Styela clava: one gene and its partner. The protein of the gene in region 1 interacts with the protein of each later gene in a pairwise test. Links are inferred from orthologs where the notes say so. Each region holds a gene or a part of one and is shown in the gene's direction. Other genes may lie near its edges. The genes, in order: cilium assembly protein DZIP1L-like and centrosomal protein of 76 kDa-like.

Region 1 (8,596 bases):
AACGTGATGTTCATATTTGAAGACCTTAGTTCCACAACTCCTTAGGAAGTCACATTTTCACCCCAGTAAAGGCTTTGACTACAACTACAGTAACTATCGAATTAACATTTACAGTTCACATGACGCTTTTCATCACAATACGTACGGCATTTTGGGGTTACACAAGATCTATGAATTGTCTGAAGGGTACCTATTAATATTGAGTTTGATAAACCCTGTACTAGATCATCTAATATTGGAAATTCAATATTTTCGAGTGTGAGGGTGGCTGGACCTCACCACGTTGAAGTCGTATACGTAAGATATGTATTCCATCCACTCTCCTACGGTCTAATAAATATTAGTGGGCAATGTATAGCCGGTCCTGCCACACATATTAGCTCGTATCAATAGCAGTGTCGGTGTGAAACCTTATAATAAAAAAGTGTACAAACGTGATTGCTAGCGATTGTTATTGGTGCTGAATATCCTAGCAATACTTGGGTACTTTAGTTTTGTATATTAGAAGTATAATATTTAAATTACAGGAATGGAAAATATGTTATGATCATTCTGGTACCGAACGATGACTTCAGTTTCAAAGACATAGAAGAAAACTTGGAGAACGAGTATGACAGCTGGAGACGAGGTGTTGTCAGCGGACTGATTGAACTTTGTCTGCCGAAATTCCAGGTAAAATACTGCTACTATACTTGGAAATTTTATTGTGAAATATTTTCACAATCGCTCCTTTTAATTGTTCGACCGATTCATAAGATGTGAATTGGTAAAATGACTGGATATTGATAGATGAGTTACAATTGGGTAGTAATAAAGACCCAACTGAATTTAACACAACTCTTGATAACAAAGCCGATTTACATCGAGAATTGTTCAGAACATCTCGTAATTGTCCCAGAAGCCTGATTGGTGACTTGATTTGATCACTAAATCTTTTTTGAGTTAGGATGGTATGATACACAAATATATCCAAAAAAGCCTTGACAGACGTGGCAGGTTTCAAACAATGATATTTTGGGTTCATTTCAGATGAATTTTCAATCTGATCTCGAATTATCCTTGCGGCGTCTTGGAATAACAGCTGCGTTCCAGTGGAGTAGAGCAAACTTTGAAAACTTGAGCGAGGACAGACTTTCTTTCTCAAAATGTAAGTTTTTTATTGCGAATATTCTTTAGATGTGGAAGAGGCGACGTGAAGATATTGGCGGACTTCAAAAAATTGATCGGCGCGGGGATATAGCGGTGAAAGTGTTTTACTTAACTGACTTGGCATCGCAGATTACACATCTCGGTTTCAGCCATGCCTTCCTCACCTAACCCATGATGTAATAAATTGGGTAGGAAAAGTTGGACCGGATGGATCACATATCGTGAAATTTCAATGTCTGCTTTTACAGCGCATTGCGAAAGTCGTGAATAAGCGTTGTCCACAACTTTTCTCGGCATAAATGCTGTTTTCGTTCTGAATATTATATTAAAATTTCAATTACATTGAAACTGATTTCCAACAATACAATTTACAATATTTATTTACAGTTATCCACAAAGCTGCTGTAGTCGTTGACGAAAAAGGAACGAAAGCTGCCGCGTCTTCGGCTTCTATCGCAATTCTACGTAAGGCATCAGATCTTGCATATTTCAAAATCGACCGATCGTTCCTATTTTTTGTTGAAGACACCAGCACAAGAGCACAGTTATTTGCAGGAAGAATCATTGACCCAACGAAATCTAACAATGTACTCTGAATAATACTGTTTTTCATCAAAAGATCTTTCTAATTGACGGGAAGAAAATGGGGAAAAAATGATGCCATTCTAATTACAAATATGTAAACAAATATGAAGTTTATCGCGATTCCCATGTCACTCTCACGGGTGCTTAACTTCGATACTATAATCAATATGTCACAAAGAAATTCGCTTTTAAGAGTCTTTCACATCTTCAATCTGGATAGCACGTCCTTGATGTAGACCACTTAATACGCAAGGCTCTACTAAATTCAGTAGGGTCCGATAGGCAGTGTAAGGCGGCCATGTCTCTACTTAGTGAATGTCGACAAGACAAGAAAGTAGATTCGTCAAGGCACCTACAATTCTCTATCATATTATCCACGCATTTCATATCGAAAACTTTTACACGGTAATTCCTATTCTTTTGCGTGGCGAAGAATATACCTTTGTCTAATTTAATATGTAAGCCTATGACCTTACAGTGCCCTAACAGCTAACTCGTGCGAAGTGAAAAACGCATGTCATAAGATCAATTAACAAAATTTTGCAACAACTTTGCCTGCAACTACTAGAAAGCCTATGTTAAATAAAAGGTGCGGCGCGCGGTTTCACCCAGTCATTTCTATCTGGCCCTTCTAAAGGTTGCACACTCCTGCCCTAGACACCAACCACGCTTTATTAACTTAATGAGCACGCACGCTTAATTAAGCAATATCGATTTCAAACAATTGCGCGTTTGGAAAACCTACACGTCATGTCGCCTACTGAATTCATACAGCTCAGACACACAAAAAACTGAATGTTTAAATTCGAACGTGCGTGGTCATGATGGAGTTGTGATAAATGTTAGTCTTTGAAAGACCTGAACGTTTTAGTTCCGGTATAGATCAATATGCGCCTAGTTCGAAACTGCACCGTAGATACCGAAATCAACCTTCAATCATGCGTTTTTGTTATGACTGTTTTATTCTGGTTAGCAAATATAAATCTTTCTTTCGCTATTTCATTTAAGAAAAATTAAGTTAATTTATTATCAGACAAAAAGCAAAACTTAACTGCTAGAATATCTAAGCCGCGGATGATGAGTAAATTTACACGTAGTCTTTATTCGTCGATCGCTAATGTATGTTAATTTATTTTATTTATTATAATAATCAGTGTTCAAAACTGTATTTTTATTGTATATTACGAAACGAATAAATTGGAGTGATATGAATAAGAAACTGTGACTTATTGGAACCTCTGGCGTATCAGTTGTAAATGCGCATTGTATCCGATTTACTAACAATAAAACCTTAAACTTGAACTGAAAAAATCCTTAAAACGCTAAGCAAACTAAGTCGATTTACAAATCTGTTTGAAAATATTTTGAAATGGCTCTGCTTTCGTATTTTCCGTCAGTATCTTAAATTCCATATTAATGGTTTAACACCCTAATTTTTTAAAGTGTTCTTCCTATTGAATAGGAGACCAATGTTCAAGATTAGTTCTTTTCTGCTTAATGAGATACCAAGTACTCGAGTAGAGTACTGTTTCTATAATGGTAAGGCAATATTTCCTCGTAATACAGAGATTTTATAATGCTATTGCTATTAGATATACGCAATTACGAGGTGTCAATTTTTGTCATGTTTGTGATTGAGCACGCTACTAAATAGTGAGTATTCCAAAAGTAATCATATTCTGAAAGGCAACATGTAAATAAATTCGTAGATACAGGTCCAAAGTAATAGAAAGGATGCGCAAAGTTAATACTATTCAAAAATACTCGTCACATCCGTTGTTAAAGAAGGGGTATCCATCGAAGCCCCAGCAGGTTGTCATGGAAAGGCGATTATACCCGTCTAATAATTTAAGTTCTACAGACTAAAACAAAGCATATTACAATAACACATATTCTCACGAGACAGTCTAGTCAGCTATCTAAACTGGGGTTTTCAATATCGATATACTATATATACCTGCTCAAACTAAGGATTAGCTAGTTATAAATGACTCCAATATGCAATGGAACGCAATTACGTAAAGCCACAGACGCTACTATCGCCAGAGATACGTTTATTCTTTTAGATGTACTTAGCGTGGAAGTACAGGGTTCAGAATACTGATCTCGCGGAAAAGTGTAACGCAGAAGTTAGGATAGTATTCCATATTGATCCCGGGGAGTGAAAACCGATAAGACGGCCTAATTGATATGGGGAACCACGGCCTGGCACGGTTTTCTGGCAAATTTTGACACCTCCGTGTTCTAAATGCAAAATACCTAACCAGTGAAACCTTCCAGCTGCAAAGACTTGGAAATTATATATAAATTTGTTTATATGTCCATGTATGATAAGTCTTATAACAGGATAAGTTTTCATATTTATAGTAGTAATATTTATTCATCACCATGTGAATATTGAAGATACATTTACAAACAGACAGACAGATAAAAAACATAATGGGTATATGCTAATGAGAAATTAAATAAGTTGACTTAGCCGTGTAACAGGCAGTGGTCTCCTGTCTACATCGTCCGATCACCATGTCATGTTGGATATTCGAATCGTTAACCAGTTTATCGTTCCAGATGCGCCGACTTTGATAACTGATCAGCAAAAAAACGTGAACTTTCCTTTGACAACGAGGGTGCTAGCAATCCTCTCACGCATCATGTAATACGCGATTACAAGCTGGCATAACGAGGAAATAATATTTATTTAGGTCGAAATTCTTACCTTGATCCACGGCGCTTTAGTTAGAATAGGGTATATCCACAAATGTTGATTTCGCCATTGCATAAATCACGAGCTGAGTTAGAGTACACCACGAAAAGTTAAGATACCGGTACTTCATGCAAAGCATGCCAGAAGTTATATCTGTAATGGGCTGGTCACAATTGTAATATCATTTATGTTCGCAAAACAAAACTAAGGGAAAAATTGTGAAATACGTAAATATTCATTTAATACTCCCGAGGTGCACGAATTGATTGATTAATTTTGATAATTTGACATTTAGATTTTTTCTTTTATACGTAAACATGCAAAATATCTGACAAATTGTATTGTTTTTTAAAAAGGATTCTGACGCAATAATAAGTTTAAATTTTCCACGAAACCACAGTCCAAACCGCTTGAAATACGACACAACGGGACTGATTTTCAGGACGTAAACAAATGTGTTGCTGTGCGAAGCCTCTCTGTTAGTTTTTGTGATGTTTTTAGAGAATGAATCAATCATCAATCATCAAAAGTGAAATAAAATAGCTGGTAATGGCTGGAGAAACGGCAACTCAGTATCAGATGTTTAGCAGTCATCTATCTCCAAACAGTAATTATATGGGTGAGTTTACCTTTCCCACGCTGTCAATGAATGAAAAAAAACGGACGAGAGGCCGTGGTTTACAGGTTTAAGCTGTCTTATCGGCTTTCCTCTTCCTTGGGGAAATATGTAAATATTACCTTACTTACACCCTTGGCACTACTGCACTAATTGTTACGGTATCGGTACTGAAATCCACATGCATTTAGAAATTTCTATCTTTAAACAACTTCCAAGGCAAATGTAAAACAGAGTCCAGAAGTCTGAAGGGTGAAAGTCAGTGGGGGTTTAGTTTAGTACCACAAGTACTTTCATTGGGCGTAGCATAACGAATTTTGCATATGTTATTCCTAACCCCCACCTGACTATGCCTTCCAAAAATTACAACACTATGACATCACCATCACATCATAGAGCTTGCCAAAGTATAATTATGATTGCCCGAAATGGCATTTGAGCCGCCGATAACGAACTCACTAATGCCGGATATCTCTCTCATATCGTGATCGCTGCGACGAGAAAACAAGAGAAATGGCTTGCTCGATTTCGGCTGATCATCTGTGCGTTTTGGACGACTATCCACATACTTTGGTGAACCTTAATACGCCACTGTGACGTCGCAATGACGTAATTTTTCGGTGACGTGGTCAGGTGGGGGTTAGGAATGATATATGCAAAAATTGTTGAGCGTACTCCAGGACACCCGAAAAGTCTGTATACCATTACGAAAGCCATTGCGTACTTTGAAACTAAATATATCAAATCCGAAATTTTCAATTATAGCTCCACCACATTTGTATGAAGCAGAGATGGGCGTTCCACCAGAATCATTTGCTCCAGTGTTTCAGTTCAGGAAACGGCATGGAGAGATTAACTGGAGAAAAGTTGCAATGATTGATGTTGACAAAGTTGCAAGAGAGTTGGACATTGACACGTTACAGGTGAGGAGAGGTTTTAAATAAGAATTTGTTCACACTGACTTCTAAGGCTTGTACTAATTTAGTTTATTTTGACTTCATAATACAACTATGAAGTTTTCTAACTAGTTAGAGTTGGAATTTTGGGCGCTCCAGAAGTGTGTGCCCCAATATGGAGGTAACTAATTTTGTTCGCCTATCTGACATGAAGTTGTGTAAAGGGACTGAAACCTATGGGCGGGGGTCTCACTTGGCTCACACAGACAGTCCCCGATATCGTAATAGAACTAAAATAAGGACAATCGAAATAAAATTATGGCACAACACTAACCTGGTACATACACTACGGGAGTACCAAATTTAGAATTATAATTTTAGAATTTAGAGGTCGATTCAATGGTGATGAATAGTGACGATTTAGATTTTCTCTGAAGTTTGGAGCTAGAGTCGAAAATCGGAAATCAAAACTTTTATCAATCTTTTGGATTAGTATCTTATTCCTATTGATATTTGTTTCATGTCCAGTAATAGCTGTAACTGAGTGATTTTCTACACCGAACATAATATTATATATGTATTTTTAGTCAAGCTCTACAGAGATCATGTGAAATGTATTTCATTATAATTGAATTTGTTAATTCAGGAATCAGGTAGGCAATATCAATAGTTCAAGTCCTTCCAATCTCATTATGTATCAATATTTGCTCGTCCAGAACCTTGTTTGGAGTGAAGGTGTTTCGTAAATAGTCACCATCTATAATTTTGTTCACTTTCATCATTTTAGGAGCACATCCAGACTGTGGCATTCTGTAACATTGATGTTGTTTCTGACCTTGACCCAATGTTTGCAAAATTGTTCAAGCTGTCACAATATATGATCGAGTATATGCTACATTCTCAGGTAAGACATGTTCCCTCATTTCATGTCATCATTTTTCCACTACTGTTTTCAAAGTTGATTCGACTTAATAATATCTCTACTAGTTCAGAACATCAAATTCTGTGATTTAAATCTAATTCACAAGGATTAGGTGTGTAGGTCATTAGGTGTTTCACCTTTTCGGCATAGAACTGAAACTCTGGCAATTCAAACTGAAACCCCGGCGATAGCCAGTGAAGGGGGCTTTGATGGCCGAATCCCCTCACTTTGTAAAAAAAAAAACTGTGTCATACAGACCCGCAAGACTCCTAAAAACCTGCCAGCTGTCACGTTCTAACTTGACAACTAGAAATTTCAGACTTCAAGCTGTTTTAAACAACTCAACTAGTAAATGAGAATCAGCCTATATATTATATTAGAATTTGAAATATTTTTGCTTTTGGCAGAGTTCACTTCAAGCAATTATAGCAGAGCTCGAAAACAAACTAGAGATTGCAGCAGCACAGCAGAATTCAGCACAGGATAAAATAGGAGAATTAAACGATGATGTTCAAAAATTAAAAGCTGAGAATAAAAAGCGTCGGAAAATGATTGAACAACAACAAATGTTGATTGAATCTGGGGCTTCAAGCTACTACAAGGTGAAGTACGGCTATGCATAGATCAACCTTTTAGGTCAGTGGTTCCCATACCATGGCCCGTGGGCCAATTACTGCTTACGTAACGATTTAATACGGCTTGTCAAACTTATGTTTTACCTTTTTGCGTTCTAGATACCACCAATTGTCATGCCATTATCACAGTTTAAGCATGTGTATATTCGTAATAATTCAATTACACCGTTATATTAAATATGCATACAGGGTTCTCCCCTCTTTGGCCCGCGAATATCCCTTCACTTCTAATTTTGACCCTTGCCCAATCAACTTTGGGAACCACTGTTTGTAGGTGGAACGTAACCCAATGAAACCTTACATAGGATGGAGGAACTCCTGTGCAATAGTTTGATTGTCTTTTATGGTCTGAAATGTATGAACTATAAATAACTATAGATACATAGAAGTGACATATACTGGCAAAATGATCTTTAAATATACTGACAAACCTTAATTAGATTCTATTATTCTCATGATGTCACGCAACTGTGTCTTAGGACAATAAAATAGTCTTTTTCCCTAGAAATCAGAATTAATAATATTAATTTTGTGTATAGCCTATCAAAATTTCATAAGAATATCTGGGGCTCTCCTTAGATTAGGTATGTTACAAAAAAATTAAAGTTCATCCGATTTAAATAAAAACTGCACCAGTGGATAGATCTAAGTGAAAATAAGAAACCAATACCAAGTTTGCGAAAAATGGTCAAGAATTAACGGAGATATCTGCATTTAAGTACCGCCCGATAGGCCAATTTTTTCCATAAGGATTGTATTGCGCCGACTCAAAAACTGTGACCGCGAGAATGTCAGACCGATAAACAACAGAATGTATCTCGGCTATTTTTGGAGGTAATCGAAAAAAATTTTGAACGAAAAGTTATTGTGAATAGAAGAACCTAATGCAAAAAAGTTTACAAATTCTTTTTAACGATATTAGCTGCTTTTCAATTAATTATGTACGAGAAAGTTTCTGAACTTTACATAACCTCTGGTCGGCAACGACCTTCCCAATACGCAAGTCCCCGCATACGCGGCAATTAACTGATTTAGCGTTTTTCATATCCGACCTTAATGAACGATTAATTATCATTTAATATTCCTTAA
Region 2 (8,935 bases), on another chromosome or scaffold:
ATCGCTTCAAAGTTTGCACAAAAAAAAGTCTCTTGACCTTTGAGTTCAAGGTCTTGCTTTGAGCAAATTTTCTGAACGAAAACAGAGGTCATGTAATGATACTCGAACACGAATAATTCATTGTCAAAAGTACGTGAGACAAACCGGTGAGGAGAAATGTTTTCAACTATTCTAGCTTATTGTTCTCAACTCATTAAAAATTAATCATTCGCGCGCGAACATGGATTATTACGACATAAAACCATGTAACAAAACACCTTGTTTGTTAATAATAGATATATGGAATGTAAGGGTAACAATGGCACTGTCAAAAATATCAATAAATTTAAAGTAAAATGCCAGTATGTCAGGATGCCAGTTTTGCTCATTAAATATTAATCAATCGCGCGCGAACTTGGATTATTGCGACATAACAGAATGTAATACAACATCTTGTTCGTTAATAATAGATATGTGGAATGTAGGGGGAACAATGCCACTGTCAAAAAAGTCAGAAAATTTAAAGTAAAACTTCAGTAAGTCAGGATAACGGTTCTACACGGAACGAAACCTAATAACTACAAACAAATTATAAAATGAGATATCACACCGATCTCCTCAAAAAACTGCTAACAACGACTAGCTTGGGTCTTATCGCAACAAACACTGGGCAGTAAAAATGAAACACTTTGCTGCTTGGTAATCTGATTTATATGGAGTGCCCATAAATTCTTTTTTTTTTTTTTTTTTTGAATTTGCAAATGGAATTTATCGGAACTAAATATTGTTTCGACTCCCATAGATGTATTATACCAAGTAAAAATACTTAAATAATTACTGTATGAAAAAAACCTGGTTAAAATATATTGAGAATTGCTTTCATAACAAAATTGAAACTGTAAAGGGAATGTATGGACACCCATTACCGAATCTCTTACAGTTTTTTTAAGCAAATTTACTGTTTGTTTATAATATTGGACTAACACTCGTAATAACAAGAAATAGGCCAGAGAGGAAATCAAGACGATCTTAAATAAATATGAATATGCGTTGGATAGGGTTTCCTTATGAAACTGAAAAAATAACATGAGATATTTATAGCGCGATGTGTATTTATAGATTAAAAAGGAAGCAGTATTTTTGTGATGAACATTTGCTGCTTTTGCTCGAATCTTATTTTTTCTTTCTCAGTTGTAATGTGATGCATTTTTTGCTAAACCACTAAAGAAAAATTGTGACATCATAATATATGTCTCTCCGAACATCGACCCATTTTTTTACTTCCCTAGCGTTTCAGCTAGATGTCAATGGTGAAGTAAAAACTGAAGTTCGGCCAGTCAATTTTTTCACAGATATAAGGACTTTGGGGGGTGAACATTAGCTTGTTTATCTGACCATTAGGTGATTTAAGTAATACAAGTTGCATTTAAATATGATTTGAACTTTGCTAAATAAAATATATAAATTTGCGCAATGTTTCATACTAATTTTTCATTCTTAATTACAGTAGACATTATTAATTCGGTATTCCGTAAGTTACGTCAGACATTTCGAATGCGTTTGGGTTTCACGCATGCGTAACAATTCACGTGATTATTATCATGGGTTGTTTGTTACTTGAAGTATAAATTGCAGTAATTTTCCACTCAGCTAAGTCCTACGTTAATTAAGAGCGTCTGAATGCGTGACTCGCGCAGACTAATCACGTGATGATAATCATGCGTAACTTCACATGATTATTAACGTACGCTGGGCATTCCAACAAGAATAAAATCACTGGGTTTGTGTTAATTAGGAAGAACCCGACATCAGATTGTGTTTGCTACACAACGCCGAAAATGCCTGAATCCACGTGATTATTCCAGCACAATGACGCTAAAATGTCTGTAATTTTCCAAGCCTTGTCACGCAATAATAAGAACGTTGTTCAAGAATTATTGGCTTTCTAATTTTTCTAGGTCAGTGTTGTGAAATATTACGCTCTTCCATAATACACCTGATTTTGTTGTCATTTTGTGGATATAACCGAATTTGGACATTAAATTAGCAATTATCGGGTTCGGTTCAGTAATGAATCGAAAATTTAGATTTCCAGCGCAATTTGCATTCCCAGCTCTCGCCATAATCCTAGCGGGATAATTATTATTACTTATCGATCTTAATATCGGTAAGTATGCTGATAGGTATTTGTCTGTTTGTTTGTCTGTCTGTTAGATGCAAGCGATATCTCACGAAAGCGAAGTTAAATCTGCTCCAAATTTTGCATTGTATTCATCATAGCTCGGATCAGGAGCCTATTGATTTTGGATGAATTATGTCGTATAATTAGCGAGTTTATAATTAATTAGTGATGGGACACACGGTGTCACTATGGAGTAAGAGCGCTTTTTTGGGGGATCCCCTAACCTCCGATCGATAAGTCTTCGGTCTCCGACCGATATTCTCGTTTTATTATTTTAAGCGTTGGCGAGGGTGTTATTTAGGGGGATTCGTACAAAAGATCCATTTTACCCAACAGTGATACTGGTTTAAACCCGTGTGTATTTTACTAGAGTTTTATTTGTATAGCCTATTTGTACAGCATGTCTGTTGTCCCAATATAACGCAGCAGTCCTAAACTGCTGTTATAATTGTTAGTAGGGGTGCATGTCGCACATCTGTGTCTTAGGCCAGTAAGGTCTTGAACATGTTTCTCGTCTCTGTTTTACTGTTTATTTATTATGCAGATATTGTTACATTTTTCAGGCAAATAAACATACTTACATACATATCAAAGTAAATCTGTCTAGCATCCATTAGAAACTGCACTAAAACATTTTGCAGTATTTCCTACTCGTGCGTAAGACCACGTGATGCTTAATTTTTGGACGTAACTTCCCACGCATACTTAAGTGCACGTGACGTTTTGGCGTAGGAACAGGAAATTCTATACGTCCAATAGTGCATGTGACGTTTTGCTTGAGAACATGAAATTCGATACGGCAGTGCGCGTGATGTCTTACGTACACATTCCACAATTTCAGTCAAGCGGACAGTCATGAGTTTCTGGGCATTTTTACTTATTGACAAATGCTCTCTGCTAGGGCTTAACAAAAACGAGTCAAATTACGTCAGCATTAAGTGGAAATGCATCAAAACGTCTTGGCTCAAAAATTTACAACACACAAGAAAAAAGTTCAAACATGGACACAAATGTACTGAATGGAAAATCTCACCTTTCAGACATAGACAGATAGGATAATTTTTTCGAACTCCTATATGACACAAAACAATTCAATTATAACTTGAACACACAGATAAACATGAATAACACAATCTCTTTCCCCGAAATAGCAAGTATATTAGTTGGCTTCCTTTGGATCATAGTCTAACTTCTTTAGACAAAATAAGATATAACTGCAAATATCAAAGATCATAATCAATCAATTTTATTTGGTCACTCTGATACAAACAACAAACAAAACAACAACAAAGGGCAAACAAAATACAGAAAACCTGGAGGACGGGCAGAACTTAATAATAAAGATAAATACGTACAAGTACGTGCCCGTCCCCCCAAAACAGTCAAAACACAATAAAGCTAAAACACGATGTGACATCGGCAATATCTTATAAATTAAAATATGGGACGTGTATGTGCTTTTCCTACAGATATATGGATTAAAGAACACTCGCTGCCGAAAAATGGTGATGCTGTAGGCCTGATAATTGTCCATATATATTGGTTATTATATTAATTTCGAAAAGGGTAGAATTGTTTTTTTCTACTATGCTCTCCAAATATATTGATGTGCGAGGGTAAACACTCAGTACAGTAAACCGTTCCCAAATCGCAAGAAAGTCCTCCCTGCCACCGTGCTTAGTATGGGTGAGACAGAGTAAGCTGATTTTTCTTATAGCTGCAATTGTAATTTATAACTAACGCATACGGCACAACAATTTTAATAAATCATGATGGCAAGAAAACATGTTTTTTCCCGGGGAATAAACATACAAGAGAGTTCGATAGAAAGAGGTTTTAGTACCGGAAATACGTTGTAACCGCCCGCTTGGCTTTCACTGCTATGTTTTTTTATTATTTTAAACGAATTCGTCTCAACGTACAACGCAGTAGAAAGGGAAAATCTCGAAAAAGATTTCAAACACAAATAATCACACACAAAAAAATCAATATTAATGAAAATATAAAACGACCTACCCTTCAAGATTTCAATTTAAAAAACAAAACTCATTGCTCTCTAACGACATCTCGCGGTCATAATTTTTTGAATTGGATCAATAGAGTCACGCTTCAGTACCTGTAACGCGGTCAATGATCCTTAGCAAATCATTGACCCGTATCGTCAACTGAAAATTCCCGTATTTCAAAAACAAAACAAACCTAGTTCGCCGAGTTTTAACTCGGTTTGCAGCTGAACGGTTGGATTCTACTGTTCATGTTTTAACAGTTACAGAGTTATCGAAGCTTCTTTCTATATAGTCAATAGTGTGATTACATCAGTGGTTATTGCTGTTATCTACCCATAGGCTACGGTATCGTACCGGCACCGTATTACTGCTGTACCGGTACTGGCTTTCGTCTGAACGTACCGGTACGGTTCAAACTATTGCAGTCATTTATCGAAGAAAATTGAGATGTGTAATCTCATTATTATATCAGTGGGTATTTTTGTCACCGGTATATATCCAGACCAACAGACGAGGTTTAATCATTTACCACCGTATTACGGTGCAATAATCTTGTTTTTAAATTGTGTTAAAAGTATTCTGAATCCGGTAATTATACACTTCTTCAACTTTATTTCAAGTTATGCTCGCCTTCTTCAGTTCTAGGTAGACTATCTCTGCATTTTGTTTGCCTGTTTATGTCAGAGAACTGAAATAATATGATTTATTCATTGATAAGTGAACAAGTACGGTACAGACGTACCGTATCAGTATCTCTTTATTTTGGCAAAACATTTCACAATATATCTATATATTCCGTTCTGCCGTCCTGTACATGTTATATTTGTTCCCCTGATTTTATAAACAATTTTTATTCATTGTTATCAATTACTGTATTTTATAATAATAATAAGTTATTTAGATTCCATCCAGTAATCAGCATAACAGACATGAAATACCATACCGTAGTGCAGGGGTCGGCAACCTTTTGTTGCTCGCGGGCCAAAATTAAGGGTTGCAAGTCATTGGCGGGCCGCACATATTTTTAGAAAGTGGAAAATCGAACGATACATCTCTCGAATAGAATATAGCTTTATTTCCTCATTGCATTGCATCTCAAAAAATTCCATTTGAATATTATCGGTGCCATTGAACCCTTTACACTTAGCATCAACTTTTCTGCGTTTTGTTGCCATTTGTCTAAATTATAATTAAATTATAGGCTCATTAAACGAGTAATTGTGAATTATATACTTGTTAGGTAACAATATAATTTAGTCTACACTTGTCTCACAATAAATTCTGGTATGTAAGACTATAATCGTCGAAACAGCTGTTTTGTTACTATAATTCAGTGATGTGCCACAGGCCGGATTATATTAGTAGGTGTGCCAGATTCGGCCCGCGGGCCGTAGGTTGCCGACCCCTGCCGTAGTTGATAAAAACAAATAAATAAAAACTGATCATATCGTATGTTATGCTGGTAAGTAGTCGAAATAAACGTATACTTATATCGAAACAGTGTTTAATCATTTAACTGCGTCATTATATCAGTGAATATGGCGTCAGCTCTTCCACCAGAAAAGCTTGCGGAGTTGAAGCAGATTATCCATAACCAACTTGTACAAGCGAACATACAGACTCAGATTAAAGATGTTTTGGCCGGAAGTTTTAATCAACAACGAGCTGGACATGATCGGACGGAAATATCTGAAGGGGACATAATGGAAGACTTGAAAAGAAAAGGTGATATATTTAAATTTACCATATTTGCTCGTTTTGTAGCCTGGGCCGATATTTTTTTAATCAAACTCAATAACCGAGCTCTTATTCAAACCGGCCCTCATTCAAGCGCGGGCTCTTTGTCATTTTTTAAAGTAAAATTATACACAAAACTTACGGTATCTTTGAAGACAAATATTGGATGACATTAATCCATTGTGACAAAAGCGCTTCTTATTTCCTATTGTTCTCTACCACTGAAAAATCAGCTTTTACATCGGGCGGGTATTCAAGCACCAACCCTTATTTATGTTCTGTTCACACGGGCGGTATTCAAACGAGCATATACGGTAGTTGAAATATGGTTGCCTGGAAAAGTTTGATCAAGATCAAATCAATCAATCAATCAAGATCGGGCGGTAAAACGAGCATATACGGTAGTTGAAATATGGTTGCCTGGAAAAGTTTGACAAAAATACATTTGTTCGTATGTGTACTGCAACACTGGTAAGTGGTAAGTAAGCTACTTGAGGTCTGGGATTAGGATTTTCATATTTATTCTGTGGGTTCATTCTCACGGTGTGAAAAACGCTTTGGTTCTCAACCTTTTATGGCTAGTAGCCCTCTTCCAGAAGCTTTTAGCACTCATGGCCCCCTGTTTATTACTCCACTTTAAGGGCCACATCCACTGACATAGCGATTCATGGGTTACCGCTTACCAGTCTGTGTTGAGTATGGGAGCACTTAACCAGTTATTTGTTCCAGATATGTGGACTTGATTCTTCATCTAGATCCCAAATATAACTGCATCGACAAAAGTATCTGAATATAGTGATGATACTTTCTATATTATTCTACACCATATATGTATGTAACATATTTCCACCGTTGGTGGAAAAACAAATTGCTGATTACAACTAAATATTCCAATTGTATCAGTGCGCAAATATTTCTGATCGTATGATCAGTGTTATGGCCGCTTTGATATTCAATCAATAATCATGATTCACTTTGCAGTTTGCAGTATTGCTAGCATACTCCTCCAGTCATCTCATTGATGCTCGCAGATAGAAATTTTAATTTTCAATTACATATTCAATTTTTTATGATATGATAACAATGAAAGGGAATACATATTCAATTTTTTATGATATGATAACAATGAAAGGGAATGATGAATCTCACAAACAAATTACATTGTACCCGTTATCCATCCTATACATTTTATTTGGTGAACTATTCTAATTGAGATGAACGAGTCTTCAGATATTGTTTGCAACGCAATGCTGAAAATGCTTTACTGCACATGATTATTACAGCGCAATGACGCTTGAATTTTTGTAATTTTCCAAGCCGTGTTACACAGTAAGAAGAGCGTTGCTCAGCAATTATTAGGACTGGGCATTATCGAATATCTGATAATTTCAGAATTGAATCGAATCTTGAATACTTGGAAGATATGTAGTTGTATTGACTGTTTTATTGTAATGTGTCTTCCAGACACATAAATTGGTGAAAACACATAATCTATCACGCAGCTAGTTCGCTGAGTGTCCACACACAATACGGTGCGGCTAATCGTGCTAAGCGTTAGGAATTCGCTCGTCACCGCGCCTCTAATTACTCTGCGTGGGTTTGAATCCCATGCGGGACGTGGTTATGTGCGAGAGGATTGCAGGATTTCTCGTCGCTGTAGGGTGGTTTACGTAACCGCTGGTCGGTTACGGCTTCCGCCACCATCCACCACTAATCCCATACCCGACATGGAATGGCAAACGGACGAAAGGCCCTGGTCCGCCATATGTTTATGCCATGAATATGTAAATCCTATCCTAAGTAACAACATGTTTCATCAATGCCTAGTTAGTTCACCATTGTTGGGAGTTGAAGTTTTAAATTTCTTTTTTCACTTTCTCAGGTGTTGTGGAAGAAATTCTGCAGAGACTTCGTTACGAATCGCCGATCATTGCTGCTCGAACAAAACCATCCATCCATAAAAATCTTGATGAAGAATTAATTCAAGCGGAACTGAAAAACAAAGTCGCTGTTGATCCGACACGGCGTTACATTTTTATCCAAATACTCGGAGGAAAGGCTTTTATTGATCATCTAAATGCCCCGAAATATCCTGGCGTTTCTGGCGACTCGACAAGACCATGTGCAACTTTCACGCTTCATTTGCTATTCCGGGGTCAAAGGTTCAGGTCACGACCTGTGCAAGTTGCCTGCGAACCTGATTTGTCTGAAGGGTTTCTGCTCGAACTTCACACACATTTTGCTGGTGAGGGGGGTAGAATGGCCGACACAGAAACTATGTTATCAATCTGTGATCCGATTCATCTTATCTTAACCCGAACAGACCCTGACGGTACTATTTCTCTAGTTGGAACAGACTCCCTCGAGTGGCGGAAAGTTTTATCTACTCCACAGGGATCCCACAAGGTGTCGATAGAGTTAATGGGTGTTGGAGCGGAGTCTAAAATCCCAGCTGGTATTTTGGAAGCTAAATTAGAAGTTGTGCCACGAGAAAACCGTGTGAGTTTGACAAAAGAAGTCGTAGACGTACAATGTCAACTTGAAAGGCGGCGTTCTGCGGAAAAAGAACGACTTTTTCTAGTTTATGCAAAACAATGGTGGAGAGAATATCTTCAAATTCGAGAGGAACATCAAACACGTACTGTAAAAATTTTCGCACAGGATGAAACTGGTTTAAACCGCCCTGTTTGTAGTTTTGTGAAACCTCTTCGAGCTGGTAGATTGCTTCATACACCTCGACAAGCAGCGAGATTTGTTAGTACTTTAGGATACGAGCGAGCTCCAACTGTGGGTTCCGGAGGTAATGTGGAACAATGGCGATCTTCGCACGCATTTTTCGCTCTCGGAAAAGGCGACCACGAAGACCATTCTAATCTTCTATGCAGTTTATTGCTTGGATTCGGACTTGACGCTTACGTCTGCGTCGGGTCGAAAAACAGGGGTGGAGCATACACCTGGGTTGTGACTCGTTATTCAGAAGGTGCGACTGTAATTTTCTGGGACGCAGTTACAGGTCATCGATACATCCACC

The links.
Region 2: the proteins of cilium assembly protein DZIP1L-like (region 1) and centrosomal protein of 76 kDa-like interact in binary tests that used the Homo sapiens proteins (3 or more experiments, as listed by UniProt). The link is inferred for Styela clava from reciprocal best matches to the Homo sapiens genes DZIP1L and CEP76.

What each region holds. Positions count from the first base shown.
Region 1 is NC_135256.1:2,771,518-2,780,113, forward strand, and holds the start of cilium assembly protein DZIP1L-like, read left to right. Parts: upstream 1-4,855; 5' UTR 4,856-4,987; coding exon 4,988-5,057; intron 5,058-5,819; coding exon 5,820-5,977; intron 5,978-6,737; coding exon 6,738-6,854; intron 6,855-7,279; coding exon 7,280-7,474; intron 7,475-8,596. Other genes in the region: serpin B6-like, read left to right, coding at 528-672, 1,030-1,147, 1,537-1,745. UniProt on the Homo sapiens protein: Involved in primary cilium formation. Probably acts as a transition zone protein required for localization of PKD1/PC1 and PKD2/PC2 to the ciliary membrane.
Region 2 is NC_135252.1:22,881,713-22,890,647, forward strand, and holds the start of centrosomal protein of 76 kDa-like, read left to right. Parts: upstream 1-5,668; 5' UTR 5,669-5,705; coding exon 5,706-5,892; intron 5,893-7,786; coding exon 7,787-8,935. UniProt on the Homo sapiens protein: Centrosomal protein involved in regulation of centriole duplication. Required to limit centriole duplication to once per cell cycle by preventing centriole reduplication.